Arabidopsis thaliana: one gene and its partner. The protein of the gene in region 2 interacts with the protein of the main gene of each other region in a pairwise test. Each region holds a gene or a part of one and is shown on either strand. Other genes may lie near its edges.

Region 1 (7,601 bases), on a different chromosome or scaffold from region 2:
TCTCTTCGGGCCAGTGAGATTCACGACTTTGACCACTTTTACAACGCCACTTGGTCTCTTGACAATGGCTATATGTTCATCCATTGACTCGTCTTTGGAAGAATTGTCGATAATCTTTGATCTCACATGTACCAAAATGCTTTATAGCTTTTGGCTCAAAGCTCTCAAAGAACTCTTGTCGATTAAACCTATCGATCCTTTTATCTATCTTTTTATCTACCTTATGTTGGCTTTGTGGAATGCTCCTTATGGTTGTATTGTTAACTTCTGGATCTGATTCCCTCCTCCTTTGTACTTGGTTTCTATCTTAATTGAATGATATCATCTCTTTGACAAAAAAAATAAAATAAAATAAAATAAATAATAATTCCCAAATCCCACAACACATTACCAGATATGGAGGAATGATGATGATGTGAGTTGTTTTTTCTGTTATTATTTTCCCTACTTTTTTTTTCCATCAATTGAAGTTAAATACATTTTATGATAAATAATTAAACAAACAAAGATAAAATTGTATTTCTTTGGTTTATCTCTTTGGAGTTCTAATAATAACAGGTGTTTCGCAATTTATTTCTATAATGAAAAATAATAATATATATTTCCAATTAATCCATATTGCAACTCATGTGTAATAGATTCATTGAAATATCTAATAAATAAACAAAAATTCTAACAATAATCTTAAACTGTTGAAAGCAAATAACCATTATGAAAAGATATTACTTTTATAATTCAAAATCATGTATCACATGTAGTATTGTACATGCTACATATTAATTGTTTTAACATAACTTTTGAGAAAAAAATGCGGTAAAAAACCTTCAAAGTGACAAATTTTTTATCCGCTCTTAACTTTTTTTTTTATTATATACAAATCAAATTTAAGGAAATAACTCAATAATAAGATATTTTAACTTTAAATTCCTAATTTTATTATATCCATATAAAATCAATTTCTTTTTATTGTTTTAAATTCTTAAAGAAAATATTTCTTTATCTTCCATTTACATAAAGTATTGTTGGTCAATTGGTAACTCGATAGCGACATAACGTTTTCAGTACATTTATCAGATTTTATATAACTTGTTTTTTCTTTTGAACCGACATTATGAGATCTTTAGTCAAGTTGGAGGATTTTCCATTGAAAATCATCTTATATCATAAGCTTTAAAAATTTTAATTGTGAAGGTTTAAATCATATGTTTGTAATACATGCATTTCCATTTCACCCCAAAAAAAAGGTAATATTGAATATATTAAGTTTTAATTTATAATAAAACATATCAATTTCACACAAAAAGAGCCAAAATATAGTGCATTGAAAACTTTTAATCAAGTAAAATGTCTTCATTAAACATATCATAATTTGTAAACATCAAAATTATTACTTCTAATAATTTCTATCGATATATTAACAATTATAAAAAAATATTATATATAATTTAATGTTAATATCATTCTATATTCAAAACTAAAACCAAATATACAATTCACGCATCGTTTGGATAACTTTCTAGTATATATATATATATATTAGAATGAAAAAGTCTTGTAGAGCATTAGACCACTAATAATTAAAAAAATTTATAATTATATTGCATTTTTTAATACAATTAGACCCACTAATAAAACTACAAGTATTAAAGGTTCACCCGACTCTCAAATTTGAACCTAATACTAAATTATACCTCTCTCTCTTTTCTTACTTTTTAATATTTAGTTTTTAATGGTCAAAACCCTTTTTTTGTGCAAAAGATAATTTCATTCAAACTTAACCCATATGTAGTACAAATTTTAAACAAACATCAACCTCATGGTTGGAAACATCAAAGAAAACCACAAGTTCTCTCACAAGAGAATGGTAAAGGAAAATGATATAAGATAATTTGACGGTAGATCCATACATCGAAGACAAGAACAATGTAGTAACTTGCTACAAGCGAGAGAATGGTGAGTCGAAGACAATTACACGAATATTTTGGGAGATTGTTGAATGGTCACGGTCCAAACGAGACATAGTGACGTTGATAAAGAGTCTTTAACCTTGGATAACAATGGCTCGAAACACGCAGCTTCTACAAAGGTGATTAAGGTATCCAAATGGTTTTGCAAACTTAAAGTCGGAGACAAACCAAAAGTTCGTTCTATAAAAGAGGATGATTCAAAAGTTCTCTCTATAAAAGAGGATGATTCTATCATAAAATTCTTAGACTTATATGAATAGTATGAGCTGCTCTTTAAGGCACTAAGATCTACCACCAAGGTTAATAAAAGCACCTTGTCTAGACTATCTATAGGTGTCAACGTGATGAGAGAAAGGAGTCCACGACCAATCTCAAAACCATAACCCTGCCATCAGATATCTAGTGTTTGACAAGGAAGAAAGAAAAACAGACCTGGACCAAATTGGTAAATAGGCCTACCCATTAGCATTAGCTTTAGGCCGTGGTAAATTTATTAGTGGGCCAAAGGCTGCCCAGCCCAATTCGAAATGGGGATCCAAACAAACAGCGGTTTTGCCCTCTTTAGAATGCCGCTTTTGTGAAATTGTGAGAACCCTTGTTAAAAAAACTCGCGATGAAGTTGCTCTCAAATACTTTAATGGCTCACGGTAAGGATGCTGTTGTTGTGAGTCACGTGTTTGCACTGTGTAGTTGCTATTTAAAACAAATTCTTTTTGTTCAAAATTATTTTTTTTGATAAATTGTCAATCTCTGAATATTAGAACTTGATTCCCAAGTAATCTTTTTCGAGTTGTTTTGTTGTTTAGTCATTGATTATACGAACTTGGTCCCCAAGTATATTTCTTGTTCATGCACTTCCTTATTATCCTATTGGATGACTGTTGACCACAACGTCCACTAAAGAGAAGAAACTATACAACGTCATTGCGAAAAACTACTATACTTTTATACTTTAACGTGTAGACATAATAATATACTTTTTTGAGTATCTTCGGTGGAAAATATAGAATACCTTTTACTGGTTGAGCTAAGAGTCGTGTAAATTCAATATTCTAGTCCCACAAATTTCCAAAAAGAAAAGTCTAAACATTGGTTTTCGTTGTCTGTCTATAAAAGATAAGAAGAATAACATCAGAGATTATACGCACACGGCTTTCAACATTAGGAAGGACAACAATGGAAGAGCCCTTTCTTCTGCAAGATGAGCACCTTGTCCCCTGTAAAGACACATGGAAAAGTGGTCAGGTTACCGTCGAGCTGAAGAAAGTGAGCAGCTTGGCCGCTCCTATGGCCGCCGTGACCATTGCTCAGTACTTATTGCCTGTCATTTCAGTCATGGTCGCTGGCCACAATGGTGAGCTCCAGCTCTCCGGCGTCGCTCTTGCAACCTCCTTCACAAACGTTTCCGGGTTCAGTATTTTGGTAATGATATGCTATAACTACTCTCTCCTCTTAAGTTCAAGATCAAGTTGCCTCTCAAATCTTGATAACACTATATTAATTCTTTGTGCAGTTTGGGTTAGCGGGTGCACTAGAAACTCTTTGTGGCCAAGCTTATGGAGCCAAACAATACGAAAAAATCGGAACCTACACATACTCTGCAACTGCCTCTAACATCCCTATATGTGTCCTCATATCAGTTCTCTGGATTTACATCGAAAAGCTCTTAATCTCTCTCGGTCAAGACCCTGACATCTCTAGAGTCGCTGGCTCCTATGCCTTGTGGCTCATACCGGCTTTGTTCGCCCATGCGTTTTTCATCCCACTGACTCGGTTTCTGCTAGCACAAGGGTTGGTTCTTCCACTGCTCTACTGTACCCTGACCACTCTTTTGTTCCACATCCCTGTTTGCTGGGCTTTTGTTTACGCGTTTGGTCTGGGAAGCAATGGAGCTGCCATGGCTATTAGTGTGTCTTTCTGGTTCTATGTTGTGATTCTCTCATGTTATGTGAGGTACTCCAGCTCCTGCGACAAGACTCGCGTATTTGTATCCAGTGATTTCGTGTCTTGTATCAAGCAGTTCTTCCACTTCGGAGTCCCATCAGCGGCAATGGTTTGGTAAGTCGTTTTTAAGTTTCTTGTTGGTCAAGTTACATACAACAACCAATGCTTTTTTTTATCTTGCTTGCGTTTTCTTGGTCTTCCTTTAATAGCCTAGAATGGTGGCTATTTGAGCTACTCATACTCTGTTCAGGTCTTCTCCCAAACCCGAAACTCGAGACCTCTGTTCTTTCAATTTGGTAAATATATATCATATAACGACTTCTTTTTATTTTTATTATCCTCTTTACTAAAAACTAATGAATCTTATTTCTTTAATGCAAGTCTTACAACAGCAAGTTTGCACTATGTGATTCCAGGTGGAGTCGCGGCGGCTGTGAGGTATGAACTCAAATTTTTAACCAAACATATTCAACATCTTCTTCCTAAACAATAATAGTCATTTGGTTTCTTGCAGCACACGCGTGTCAAACAAATTGGGAGCTGGGATTCCTCAAGTTGCTAGGGTTTCAGTATTGGCAGGGCTTTGTCTCTGGCTTGTAGAGTCAGCTTTCTTTAGCACACTTCTCTTCACATGCCGAAACATTATAGGCTACGCATTCAGCAACAGCAAAGAAGTTGTGGACTATGTGGCTAACCTAACTCCTTTGCTCTGCCTCTCCTTTATCCTCGACGGTTTCACAGCAGTTCTGAATGGGGTTGCAAGGGGAAGTGGTTGGCAACACATTGGAGCTTTGAACAACGTGGTAGCTTATTATCTTGTAGGAGCTCCTGTTGGAGTATACTTAGCTTTCAATCGTGAGTTGAACGGAAAAGGACTTTGGTGTGGTGTTGTGGTCGGATCCGCTGTGCAAGCCATAATATTGGCTTTTGTCACAGCTTCCATAAATTGGAAGGAACAGGTAAAACACTTAGAATAGAAGATTCGTCATTTTAGCATGTTATACTTGTACATTCTTTTTTGTTCTTTCTTTAATACTATGAAGTAATTTTAATCTATGATTTGCAGGCTGAGAAGGCTAGGAAGAGAATGGTCTCTAGTGAAAATAGATTGGCTTAAACTAAGGATGTTTCTGAGAGCTATCTCAAACTATTTTTGTAGGTGTTGAGCAAATTTTTATGTATGGTATATTAATGTGTTAAAAAATGTTCTTACAAAATAATTTATATGTATGATTTTTTCTCAGCCTATCTTTTTCACTATGTTGTGTAACTTGTAAGTGTATAATCATCATTTATCCATAAACATGCTTTTCTTAATTTTTTCACATGTCATTCCCAATAAATTTATTTTATGGTATTTGTGACTATAACCACAATCTTCTACCAATAAATCTTAGTGAACCCTTTCCGAGAGAGCTTTTAGGCTCATAATACAATACTATTCAGATTTTGAAACTCGGACCTTCACGACAAATCTCTGACGAAACTTTGGATTCTACTTGAGAGCGGCTGTCACTTTTAGTTTCAACCACAAATGATTTACTAAAACCTGTGTAAAATCAGATCCAAATGTCTTTAAAGTGGTCTAAAGAATCAAAACTTAAGGTAAGCAAATTACTTAAATTAGAGTCAAACTTTAGGACTATATAAAAATATAAAAATCCACAAAAGTAATTAATACAAGATTGAATGTTCAAACTCTACAAAACAAAATAATTCATATTAGTCTTCAGTCTTCACATATGTTCTTATGTAAATAATTAAAAAGTATTAACACTAATGACATGTCATTTTTAATATGTATATTCTATATATCTATTTTTATAATATAGTATATTCGTGTGCCACTAGTATCTATATTTTCAAACAAGTCAAAACGAATTTGCTTCTTTACTCATCATATCTACTTCGTCACCACGTTTGTAGTTCAAGTTGCCTTTGTTGTTTATTGACTTAGTCGGTCTATAAAGATAGGATAAATATCATCTTAAAATCAAAGGGAAAGGCCTTCAACGTTAAACAATGGAGGAGCCATTTCTTCTGAGAGACGAGCTTCTAGTCCCTTCTCAAGTCACATGGCATACAAATCCATTAACCGTCGAGCTAAAGAGAGTGAGCCGCTTGGCCGCTCCTATGGCCACTGTGACCATTGCTCAGTACTTATTGCCTGTCATCTCGGTCATGGTCGCTGGCCACAACGGCGAGCTCCAGCTCTCCGGTGTCGCTCTTGCAAACTCCTTCACAAACGTCACCGGTTTTAGCATTATGGTAATTATGCTATGACTCTAACCTTTTCAACTCAAGAATCAAATGGACTCTCTCAAGTATTGAAAACACTTCAATTATTTTTGTGCAGTGTGGATTAGTGGGTGCACTTGAAACTCTTTGTGGCCAAGCTTATGGAGCCAAACAATATGAAAAAATCGGAACTTACGCATACTCTGCTATTGCTTCCAACATACCAATTTGTTTCCTCATATCAATTCTCTGGCTTTACATCGAAAAGATCTTGATTTCTCTCGGACAAGACCCTGAAATTTCAAGAATCGCTGGCTCCTACGCCTTTTGGCTTATACCGGCTTTATTTGGCCAAGCGATTGTCATACCACTGTCCCGGTTTCTGCTAACACAAGGGTTGGTTATTCCTCTGCTCTTCACTGCCGTGACCACCCTTTTGTTCCACGTTTTGGTTTGTTGGACTTTGGTTTTCTTGTTTGGTCTGGGATGTAATGGACCTGCCATGGCTACAAGTGTGTCTTTCTGGTTTTACGCTGTGATACTCTCATGTTATGTGAGATTCTCCAGCTCTTGCGAGAAGACTCGCGGATTTGTATCCCGAGATTTTGTGTCTTCTATCAAGCAGTTCTTCCAATACGGAATCCCATCAGCTGCAATGATTTGGTAAGTCATTTTAAGTTGTTTGTCCGTCAAGTTACATACCCTAATGCTCTTCTTCTTATCCCGCTTGCATTTTCTCGGTCTTCTTTAATAGTCTAGAATGGTGGCTATTTGAGATACTCATACTCTGCTCAGGTCTTCTCCCTAACCCGAAACTCGAGACCTCTGTTCTTTCAATTTGGTAAGTACCATAGAAGGACTTCTTTTTATCTTTTGTGGTCTCTTTACTAAAAACTAATGAATCCTGTTTCCTTCTTTTCAGTCTTACAATAGAAACTTTGCACTATGTGATTTCAGCTGGAGTCGCCGCGGCTGTGAGGTATGAATATGATCTCAGTTTTATCATTCAGAACATCTTCATCTTATTATAGACAATTCTTTCCTAAACATTTAGTGATTGGTTTCTTGCAGCACACGTGTATCAAACAATTTGGGAGCTGGGAATCCTCAAGTTGCTAGGGTTTCAGTATTAGCAGGGCTTTGTCTCTGGATAGTAGAGTCAGCTTTCTTTAGCATACTTCTATTCACCTGCAGGAACATCATAGGATACGCATTCAGCAACAGCAAAGAAGTTTTGGACTATGTAGCTGACCTAACTCCTTTGCTCTGCCTCTCCTTTATCCTCGACGGCTTCACAGCAGTTCTAAATGGAGTTGCTAGGGGAAGTGGTTGGCAACACATTGGAGCTTGGAACAATACTGTTTCTTATTATCTTGTAGGAGCTCCTGTTGGAATTTACTTAGCTTTCAGTCGTGAGTTGAACGGAAAAGGACTGTGGTGCGGTGTTGTGGT
Region 2 (9,570 bases):
GAAAATAAAATCAAGTCTAGAAATCCACAACACCCATTGTTTGGCTAAAAGAAGATTTGCTCTCAGCACAAAACTTAATAACACAAACGAATGCGATGAAACTTGAAATTTTACTCCATTCATCAATTCACTCAAGTTTACAAAAGGTTAAGTAGACGTTTTAACGCATCTATGGTTCATAAATTAGATAAATAAAAATGATTTAGTAAACTGAAATGACGCCCTGATTCGGATATATATATATAAGATTACAACATTACATTATCCTCTCTTTCCTTTTTGATAATAAAATAACTGAAATCAACCAATTATAATCTTCTTCTTCTTCTTACGACATATATTATAGTCTAAAGATGCCGGTGCACACAAGATAAAGAGAAGAAAAATGGTGGATGAGGTAAATTCATAATCAAAAGTTGTTTAAAAAAGTACTCTACTCTTAATCGGAATCGCTGTCCTTGTCGTGTCCTCCTAAGTCGAACTCTTGTCCCGCATAGTATTGATTTGTTAATCCACGGTCTCCATCTGGCGGACAACATTGAACCAGAAGCTGGGGTATGTCGGTTTCACTGGACACCACAATAGTACTAAACTGTTGAGACTGTTGAGCGTATAGCGGTGGCGGGCCTAGCAGCGCAGGTGTCAAGTCAGGTTCATTGGACGCCACAAGACTGTACTGTTGAGATTCTTGAGCGTATAGCCGTGGCTGACCTAGCGGCGGCGCAGGTGTTAAGTTAGGTTTAGTGGACGCCACAGGACCACATTCTCGAGCCTTTGGAAGCGCGGATGGTGGCGGCGAGTTAGTTTTGGTGGAGCCCTTTCTATAGCCTATATATGGATTATTCAAAAGATAAACAGAAGCAAGGAAATCTATGTTACACCAAAAGTAAGATAAAAGGAACTCACGTCGTATGATCCAAATAACCAGAAATGTTGCTCCGGCTATGAAACCTGGCATCACTAAAACCGGCATCTTCTCGTCTTTTTTTTTACCATGTTTCATTTCTCTGTTATTCATTTTTGACTTGATCTTTTGGGGATCGCCAGACCAGATCTAGTGATGGATGATTCTATAGAAACTGTATAGTGCAAGTTTAATTTTATCATTTGAATGAAAAGAAGAAGAAAAAAACAATTGTTTATGACATGTGTGTGACAACTGGCAAGTCTTATTTAAAAGTCAATACCAACGGCGGTAATAATTGATACCTGGTTACTTAAATCCTTAGATTTTCTTAATGCCATAATTGACCGAGTCTATCAATGACATTGTTATCATAACTCAAATCAGATTTGATAACTTCTTAATTTCGTAGTTGACATAAATTAACAATCACTATGATAAAATTTGATATTACTAACTTACTCTTTGTCCCAAAAAAAACAAAGTATCTTACTCAAAAACTATGTACAAAACTAGTTTTAAGACCGAGTACAAAACTACTTTTAAGTTGTATTTACTAGAAATACAACTTAGTAATAATCGACAGGAAATTAATCAAATCCATCGGTAGGCGTGACTGCACAGAAGAAGGAAAATGCTGCAGAGGTAAATTCATAAATAATCAAATGACAGGTGACAAGTCTTTATCTCTGTTTTGAAATCAATATATGTATAGCTGCCATAATTTGTGGTCTTTGTTTATACTGCCATAATCAAAAAGTTTCCTAATGCCATAATATCTCGTTCCAATCCATGCTATTATATTTTAAATTTACCTCTGAACCAACAAAAGATGTACTTTGATCATTGAATACTTTTTTTTACTGGACCAACAAAAGATTTACTTTGTTAATTGTTATTCTTGTATGGATGTCAAGTAATTACAACTGAACCAAGCTTCTAAAAGCAGAAACAAGATCAAGTCCTCCTAAACAACTCAAGAAGTGTTTCTCCAGCATCACCGTTATTCTCATCACTCCCACTTCCTCTCCCTCCATTATCTTCTTCACCTTCAATCTCAATCTCAATCTCATCGTTTAAAGGCGGTATCGAACCGATGTTATTGTATGTTTCAGACAGATATTCTTCCACCCTCGACGTGTATCCATCTTGAGGACTGCTGGATGAAGCTGCTGCTCCGAATATAGACTCTGCTTGGTCTATGGAGTTTATGGTAATCTGATTCAGTGAAGTCATCGATGAGCTCCTAGACAATGTCCCCACTGTCATCTCGTCTCTCTCGTCTATTGTTGCTGTGTCAAGGGAACACACTGATCTCGTGTGCTTAGACCTCTCTTTCACTCTCTTGCACCAACTGTGAAGTGAGTCTCTTACGCTCTCTGCTATCACAGCTTTCTTATGCCGAGATCCCATCTGTTCAGATTCAGGTGAAACCATAGAGTTTTTATGAACGATGTTTAGTCACAGACTTGGATAGGCTTAAGATTGTGGAATTGTAGATATATGAAAGGTTTTGACGAACCTGAGTAACGATTACATTGAGAGGCACAGTGCCATAACTACACCAGAACTGAACGAGAACCCTGCATTCACCAGAAAGAAAAAAAAAATCTTAAGAGACAGTGTGTTGCTGCGAATTGTTGTGTATTTGAAACGCACCCAGAAATTAGCCGGCTTGATATCATCACATGGTTCTTCATGAAGCAAGATCTTTCCTTGATTCCCCACTGATACATGAAATTGATGATCTTCTCAAAAACTGAAAAACTTTGCATAGCTGATTTAAGTATTGATGCATTTTATAAGGTGGCCTTACCAAGAACCAGATGAATGTTGCCATTTCAAATGCATTCTGCATTAGCAGGAAATATATAAGGATCATCTGTGTGAATAGAGTAATATCATGGCTTGAAGAATTGAGAAAGGAAAAGTCTTTTTGCTTACCTGAAAAATGATAAATTGTATCAACCGTAGCAGAATTTCTGGTTTCCCAAACCAGAAGAGCCCATCACGTGGTTTGACTTGAGCCCCATTAGATGTGCCTGTCTGCTGCTCCTTAACCTCGAGAGCAAGCTTGGAGACAACATGCTCAAGTTTGGTTCCAACCAACATGACAAGCTTAGACAACAAAACAGATACAAACACATGCTCTGAGTGTTAGTACTGCCTTATGAATTTCAAGCTTTTTACTTAATCTTGCTTTTACTTACAATGGCAGGAACGAATGATATCCAAAAGTACATATTCAGGCCTGCAAGGAAATCACTGAATTAGTAAAGACAAAGCTTTAATGTGGAGATAGAAATGGAATGTAGTTTGTATTTATTGAACCGATAAGTTACCATGAACATTTATGCAGATGCATACTATAGCGTAAACCCAAAGTGGCCAGCTGTTGATTCATCAAGAAACATTCATCAGTCCCATTCTGTAACTCCCTTACGAAATCTTCTGAAAACAGTTGAATAAAGAGTCTTTGATAAGATCTCAATTCTCAGAAACGCATACCTAATTCCAACAATGCCATGAAACTCATCTTCCATCGTCCGTACCATATACATATGGAAGTTGTATGTAAATGGCAAATTATGTTTCTGAAATTTTAAAGTAATGAAGACCGGATTCAGAAAACTAATCATGTCAGCTACCAGATTAGATGAGAATTCTTGAGAAATTACTAGAAAGTTATATTTTAAATTTGAAGGAAAGACTGAGAAACGAAATAAAAAAGTTACTCACAGTGAGGAAACCTAACCGAAGTGCGAAGTAGTCAGACTTTCGTATGGAGCCTCTAAATTGCCGCAGGAAACAAAGCTGCAATGCAAACATATATTTTATTGCTGGACAAATGCCGTAAAAATAGCTTCTGGAGAAAAATATAACAGTGTTCTTAACTAGAGATATGAAATTTTTAAAAAATTACAGCTTAAGGTAAAAGCATGGGGAGTTACCATCCAAATGAGAAAACGATTGTTACTCCAAGGATGAGAGGCATGATGGAAAACAAATGTAGACTGACGCTTCATCACCTTGGTCTTCTTTGCTGTTGAACAAAGTCAAGAAGACTAGGGTATATATGACTGGAAACTAAAGCATCCTAGGCATTAAGTATCTTTAACAATGAATCAGCTGTTTGTGATAAAGCTAAAATTACAGAGATACATCTCTTTTCCACACAGTTCATTTCAATCCTGTATAAGTGATTATACTAGGACAGAAAGGAATTTTTCCTATATCAGTATTTATAAGTGATTATACTGGATTTGATCTGCTAGTCAAGATGAAGCGAAATTTGCAAATCTGCATAAAAGCCTCTCCACAGCTTAAGTGAGTTCATGAATGAACAACCTAAATACTTAACAGAATCCTAGTTTCATGCTGTTCTTAATCCTAAGATAACACAGTTCCTCATGTGCCCTCAAGATGAGACCCATCAAAAACATACAAGCCTTAATTTGAAGGAGAGACAGAAAAGTCTTGTCATTTACCGTGGATATCTGATTCAGCCATTATGATCGCTTGGGCTTCCCATTTTCTCCAACTGTAAATCTGTGTTACGTGATAAAAAGACAACACTGTTTCAGATGGTATTGATATGTTCGTCTGCTTAATCTTACTAACACTCTATGCACATAAATGATAATATCGAAGGTTTTCCCTCAATTTTCAGATTGAAGATAATTTCTATTTGACATATACTTAGGACCACTAATTATTTGATCATGAGGTTCTCTACATCCTCTAGACATGAGGATAAAGTTGATTGCAAGTATAATACATCTCTTCCTTTCGGAGCAACATAGAAATACTTAAGAATACAAATTTAACACTCATATGTAGATTTAGGAGCTAGGATGTGTACCTTGCTCATGGCTAAACCAATGGCAATGCCACTGTATAGAACATGAGTGATACCCAGGACGAATAAGAATCTTAGGAGTTGCTCGAGTCCCTCATACGACACAAATGGTTCACGGCCCTGGCATTGGATCCAACATCCAGTTCAGTAATATAATTAAAAGTCAAAAGGAAAATAGGCTCTTAAGTCGATAGAAAAAGTAAATATTTACATGACCACATTGATGAGAGGCTTCATGTATTCCATGATGAGGTAAGGAGCTCTGGTTTGTAGAAGAGGTGTGTTCCAGAAGAACTTTCTTATGGATTCCATAGTCCTCTTCAGAGCAAATGTAGAATTTACTATTGAAAAGGGAAGAGTTAACACAGATTTCTGAAATCCATCTCGCGCTTTGTGACAACAGAAGTGATATAAGTCCCAGCAACATCAACTCTACCAAGAAAGTTTAACAAGTCAAAATCAAACGAAAAAGAAAGAAAGTATAAAGCACCACAACATCAGCACAGGTTTATTTGACATACCCTCTTTCATTTTCTCAAGTGAAGTAAAAAGTGCCTTTCTTCTAGTCTTCTTTAACCACTGAAAACAAAACAGAACATGAAATTAGCTCCTCATATATATCTAACATGAAAGACACATCCTGTAATAATGACTTCTCTTAGAGTGAAAACATCAACACTACTTCTACTGACATTTAGCAAGCATAAACACATATCTCCAAGAAGAAACATCTCGTCCATAAAAATTCTCACTTTCTAGCACCCATTATTAGATAAAACATTTCCAGCTCATGAATCATGGAGAGCAAGAGTTAACCCAAGTGGCAAGTGTGCAGAAAAAAAAAAAAAATCATAATACGTTCTTCACACTCATTCTTTTGAGCTGAGCATTTCAACAAACATATAGTAGGCACACACACGAAGAAAAAATACAAAACAAAAACACACCTTTCCAAATCTGTAAATGGCGCGTTCAACGAGAAAGCAAACAAAGACCAAAACAGTAACAACCGAAGCAACAGAGTAAGTCGGCGTCTCTGCAAGAGACCTTCCTTCTTTCATCATATGCTCCATCTCCGGCGAGGAACTTTTCTCCCGAGAAAAATGGAGAATCAATCTGCATCTGTGATTAAGAAAGTTTAGCTTTTTCCTCCATTTAATTTTCTACAATAAAATATACTAGTCAAAGAGAAGAAAAAAGCTCATGGAATGCTGTACCAAGTAGAAACCAAAGCACATGGTTGCTTCCTCGTCTTCTCCAACGGTCTTCTCTCTTCTCTTTCTTTATTCAATTGCTTCTTTCATTTATTGCAGCATTCATGTGCTTCCCCCTAAATGTCGTTAAAGAACCTAAATTTAATAATGCAATTTAATAGCCGGACTTTACCGACCGGTACAACCATTAGTCGATAATAACAAAGCCGGGTTGATGATATCTCAATCGGTTTACGTATCATTGAAATTAGGAGAGAGATTCAATCACTGTCCGAATTAAATGAACAATAATCAGATACAAAAACCAAAATTACGCCATTTCATACAATTTTTGTAAACCGAATTTATAGCAGCAATCTACTAATCATAATCTAGCAGCAACAACTCAACCGATTTTACTGATAAATGGCGGTTAATATTAGAAGTTTACGAGTACATCAAAGCTTTGACTAATGATACTAGGATTTGGCAATTTGTGGTGGACCGGTCACTGTTTTGCCAGGAGAATAAATGAATATGATATAATAAATTAACACGTGTACAAATTCCCAACATTGGGGTGGTGGCGCAGTTGGCTAGCGCGTAGGTCTCATAGCTATTGAGTGATCCTGAGGTCGAGAGTTCGAGCCTCTCTCACCCCATTTCCCTTTTTCTCTGTAATTTTCAATTCCCAAAATAAAGAAGCTTTCGTTTCTCTCTCGCATTGACCCTTCTTCTCCAGTTTTATGTTTTGCCTCTCTCCCACTTCTGTAAATAATCTTCTCACATCCCCGCACGATTATTCTCTAGCCGATCAACGAACACAGAGACGCTAATGTATTTGACTCGATTCGAATCATTAGTCCTCTAATCACACCGATTGATTTCCACCCACAGATTTCTTGTCTGAAATTTAGGGTTAGCGAAGGTTTGGATCAATGATGCAAGGTGAAGTACAATTGCAGCCACCGGATTCACAGAAACTAAGTGATTCCGCTCCTTTGTTAGGAGATCACACCAATTCTTCTTCGGCGTCTCCTTCTGCTGCGTCTGTGGTGGCAGGAAATAGCGATGAGATAAAGGCTGAAGAAGATTTAGAGAACGATGCTTCTTCAGCTCCTTGTTGTCGTATTTGTTTGGAGGACGATAGTGAATTGTTAGGCGATGAATTGATTTCACCTTGTATGTGTAAAGGCACTCAACAATTCGTGCATCGCTCATGTCTCGATCATTGGCGATCGGTTAAAGAAGGTTTTGCTTTCTCTCACTGTACTACTTGCAAAGCACAGTTTCATCTGAGAGTCGAACCCTTTGAGGATAACAATTCGTGGCGTAGAAAAGCTAAATTCAGACTCTTTGTCGCAAGAGATGTGCTTTTGGTTTTCTTAGCTGTGCAGACTGTGAGTATCTCTCTCTCTCAGCTTCTCTTCATAGTTTTCGTGAGGATTATAAAGCATTTATTAAGAGATTCTGAGGATAAATTTTATATGATGTCATAATCTGGCTCACAAAGTGAACTAGATTCGAATCTTGACCTGGTTACTGCGTACACATGGTGGGTGCTTGAAATTGACAATGGAAGTTGATGACTATCAAATTGTTCATTTTGCTCACTGTGACTTGCCATTTTTGAAGCTTGTTTTTCATAGAGATTGTCTGAATCTTTTTGACGTCTGATAATAAGAAGATTGTTGAAACTCTAGGTTATCGCTGTGATGGCCGGATTCGCATATATGATGGACAAAGACGGAGAGTTTCGCAACTCTTTCAACGATGATTGGGATCGTATTTTGTCGAAACATCCCATCCCGTTTTATTACTGCATTGGTATTTACTGAATCTTTCATCTCCCTTTTATTGCGTAACTAGTATACCTTTCAAATACCACGGATCTAGAAGCCTTACACGCGTTTGAACATTTGGTGTGTCATGAATTCTTAGGGGTTATATCCTTCTTTGTGCTGACTGGATTTCTTGGAATCATTCTACATTGCTCTGCTCTCAACGGTAATGACCCGAGGATGGCTGGATGCCAGAACTGCTGTTATGGATGGGGTGTCTTGGATTGTTTCCCTGCTTCAATGGAAGCTTGTTTCGCTCTTGTTGTTGTTTTTGTCGTCATCTTTGCCATTCTTGGTTTAGCGTATGGGTTTCTTGCTGCAACTATGGCTATCCAAAGGATATGGCAGAGACATTACCATATTCTCACCAAGCGAGAGCTCACAAAGGAGTACATTGTGGAGGATCTTCACGGAAGTTACACTCCCCCGAAGCTGGATGCAGAGCACGAAGGAAGACTGAAAATGCTGAAACTTCTGTGACCGTGTTTTTTAACTGTCAAATAAAGGTTGTAAGGAGTTTCGGGCACATGAGAGAGACGAGTTCATACGTATATGTTCACAGAGTGTCTTTCTTTTCTTTATCATGCGATGAAAAGTACCTAATGGATATTTTGTCTTATATATATTTATTATAATTATGGTATGAGGTGATGCAATGCTACTGGTTTTTCAGTGACTATTAAAGATATTGAGACCCAAATCTACAAACAGAGTCTATATACCGACTGATGTTTCAGTTATCACACAAAAAGCTCTCACCAGAGAAAAGGGATATTAGTGTAAAAGTGTTCCTTTTTGAGTTACAGTTTCTGAAAGCAGTGAGATGATAACGGAGAGCATAGGTACGTCGTTGCAGCTTAAATTTCCTACAAACCCCCGAAAACCTAAAAATATAACAAAAATACGACCACAGTGGGAGTCGAACCCACGACCTTCTGATCCGAAGTCAGACGCGCTAATCCACTGCGCTATGCGGTCATTTAGTATGCTAGTGCAGATTATAGTATATAATATCATCGTTTTCTTTTGGATTCACTCCAAAGAACTCGTAAAAGTCGTAAGCATTACTAAAGCTAAGTTGATTGTCAATTTTTTCAGATAGTTATCTTTGTCGATATACTGATCAATGTTAACTACAAGAAGACAATTGTATCATTCACAGCAAGAAAGAATCATAGAAAAAACAGCTCAATCTAAGAAAACAAAATGTATATATAAAGGAAAATATATAAAAATAAGCCTAATGTCAACGAATCACAACTTTAACGCATCAAGCCCACTCGACTAGTAGGAAACATATATACAATGAAGGAAGTGAAAGGCATGAAGAAACACATATGCATATTATAAACCTTTATGCCCAAGAACAATCTTTCAACACCTCATAGGCCATTGATCGTTGTTCTTCACTCAACTTCTCCGGGAAATTCACTAAAAACGTTATTCTCAAATCCCCTCGCTTACCTTCTTCTTTAGCATTTGGCATACCTTGACCTTTTATCGCCTTCTCAAATCCGTGGAAGATCACATCTCCCACGGTTATCGACATTGACTCTCCGCTCAATAGTGGCACCGAGAGTTTGCATCCTGTTAAAGCCTTTAAAAGAGGAATCTCTACCGCAATCTCTAAGTCGTCTCCACGTCTTTTGAACAAAGGGTGTCTCTTTTCTTCAACCACAAATGTAATATCTTCAGGTAGATAGCCCGGTTTTTCGTTCCCTACTCCTTCGAATGTGATCTTCGTCCCTTTCTTCCATCCCGGTTGGATATTCA

What was found. The genes of interacting proteins can lie anywhere in the genome.
Region 1: the proteins of MLO4 (region 2) and AT2G04050 interact in a protein complementation assay, tested with the Arabidopsis thaliana proteins (one large-scale study listed by BioGRID).

What each region holds. Positions count from the first base shown.
Region 1 is NC_003071.7:1,334,813-1,342,413, reverse strand, and holds AT2G04050 (MATE efflux family protein), read left to right. Parts: upstream 1-2,945; 5' UTR 2,946-3,143; coding exon 3,144-3,389; intron 3,390-3,480; coding exon 3,481-4,025; intron 4,026-4,120; coding exon 4,121-4,207; intron 4,208-4,292; coding exon 4,293-4,349; intron 4,350-4,425; coding exon 4,426-4,870; intron 4,871-4,977; coding exon 4,978-5,028; 3' UTR 5,029-5,234; downstream 5,235-7,601. Other genes in the region: AT2G04060 (glycosyl hydrolase family 35 protein), read left to right, coding at 1-277; DTX1 (MATE efflux family protein), read left to right, coding at 5,934-6,179, 6,268-6,812, 6,904-6,990, 7,072-7,128, 7,221-7,601.
Region 2 is NC_003070.9:3,670,074-3,679,643, forward strand, and holds MLO4 (Seven transmembrane MLO family protein), read right to left. Parts: upstream 6,061-9,570; 5' UTR 5,981-6,060; exon of another isoform or gene 5,886-5,980; 5' UTR 5,837-5,885; coding exon 5,711-5,836; intron 5,343-5,710; coding exon 5,285-5,342; intron 5,196-5,284; coding exon 4,975-5,195; intron 4,884-4,974; coding exon 4,767-4,883; intron 4,454-4,766; coding exon 4,393-4,453; intron 3,948-4,392; coding exon 3,856-3,947; intron 3,719-3,855; coding exon 3,644-3,718; intron 3,499-3,643; coding exon 3,413-3,498; intron 3,297-3,412; coding exon 3,247-3,296; intron 3,156-3,246; coding exon 3,115-3,155; intron 3,023-3,114; coding exon 2,849-3,022; intron 2,757-2,848; coding exon 2,721-2,756; intron 2,632-2,720; coding exon 2,564-2,631; coding exon of another isoform or gene 2,494-2,563; exon of another isoform or gene 2,488-2,493; coding exon 2,427-2,487; intron 2,318-2,426; coding exon 1,862-2,317; 3' UTR 1,683-1,861; downstream 1-1,682. Other genes in the region: AT1G10990 (uncharacterized protein), read right to left, coding at 440-1,018; AT1G11020 (RING/FYVE/PHD zinc finger superfamily protein), read left to right, coding at 6,895-7,356, 7,660-7,783, 7,898-8,277; AT1G11040 (HSP40/DnaJ peptide-binding protein), read right to left, coding at 9,152-9,570.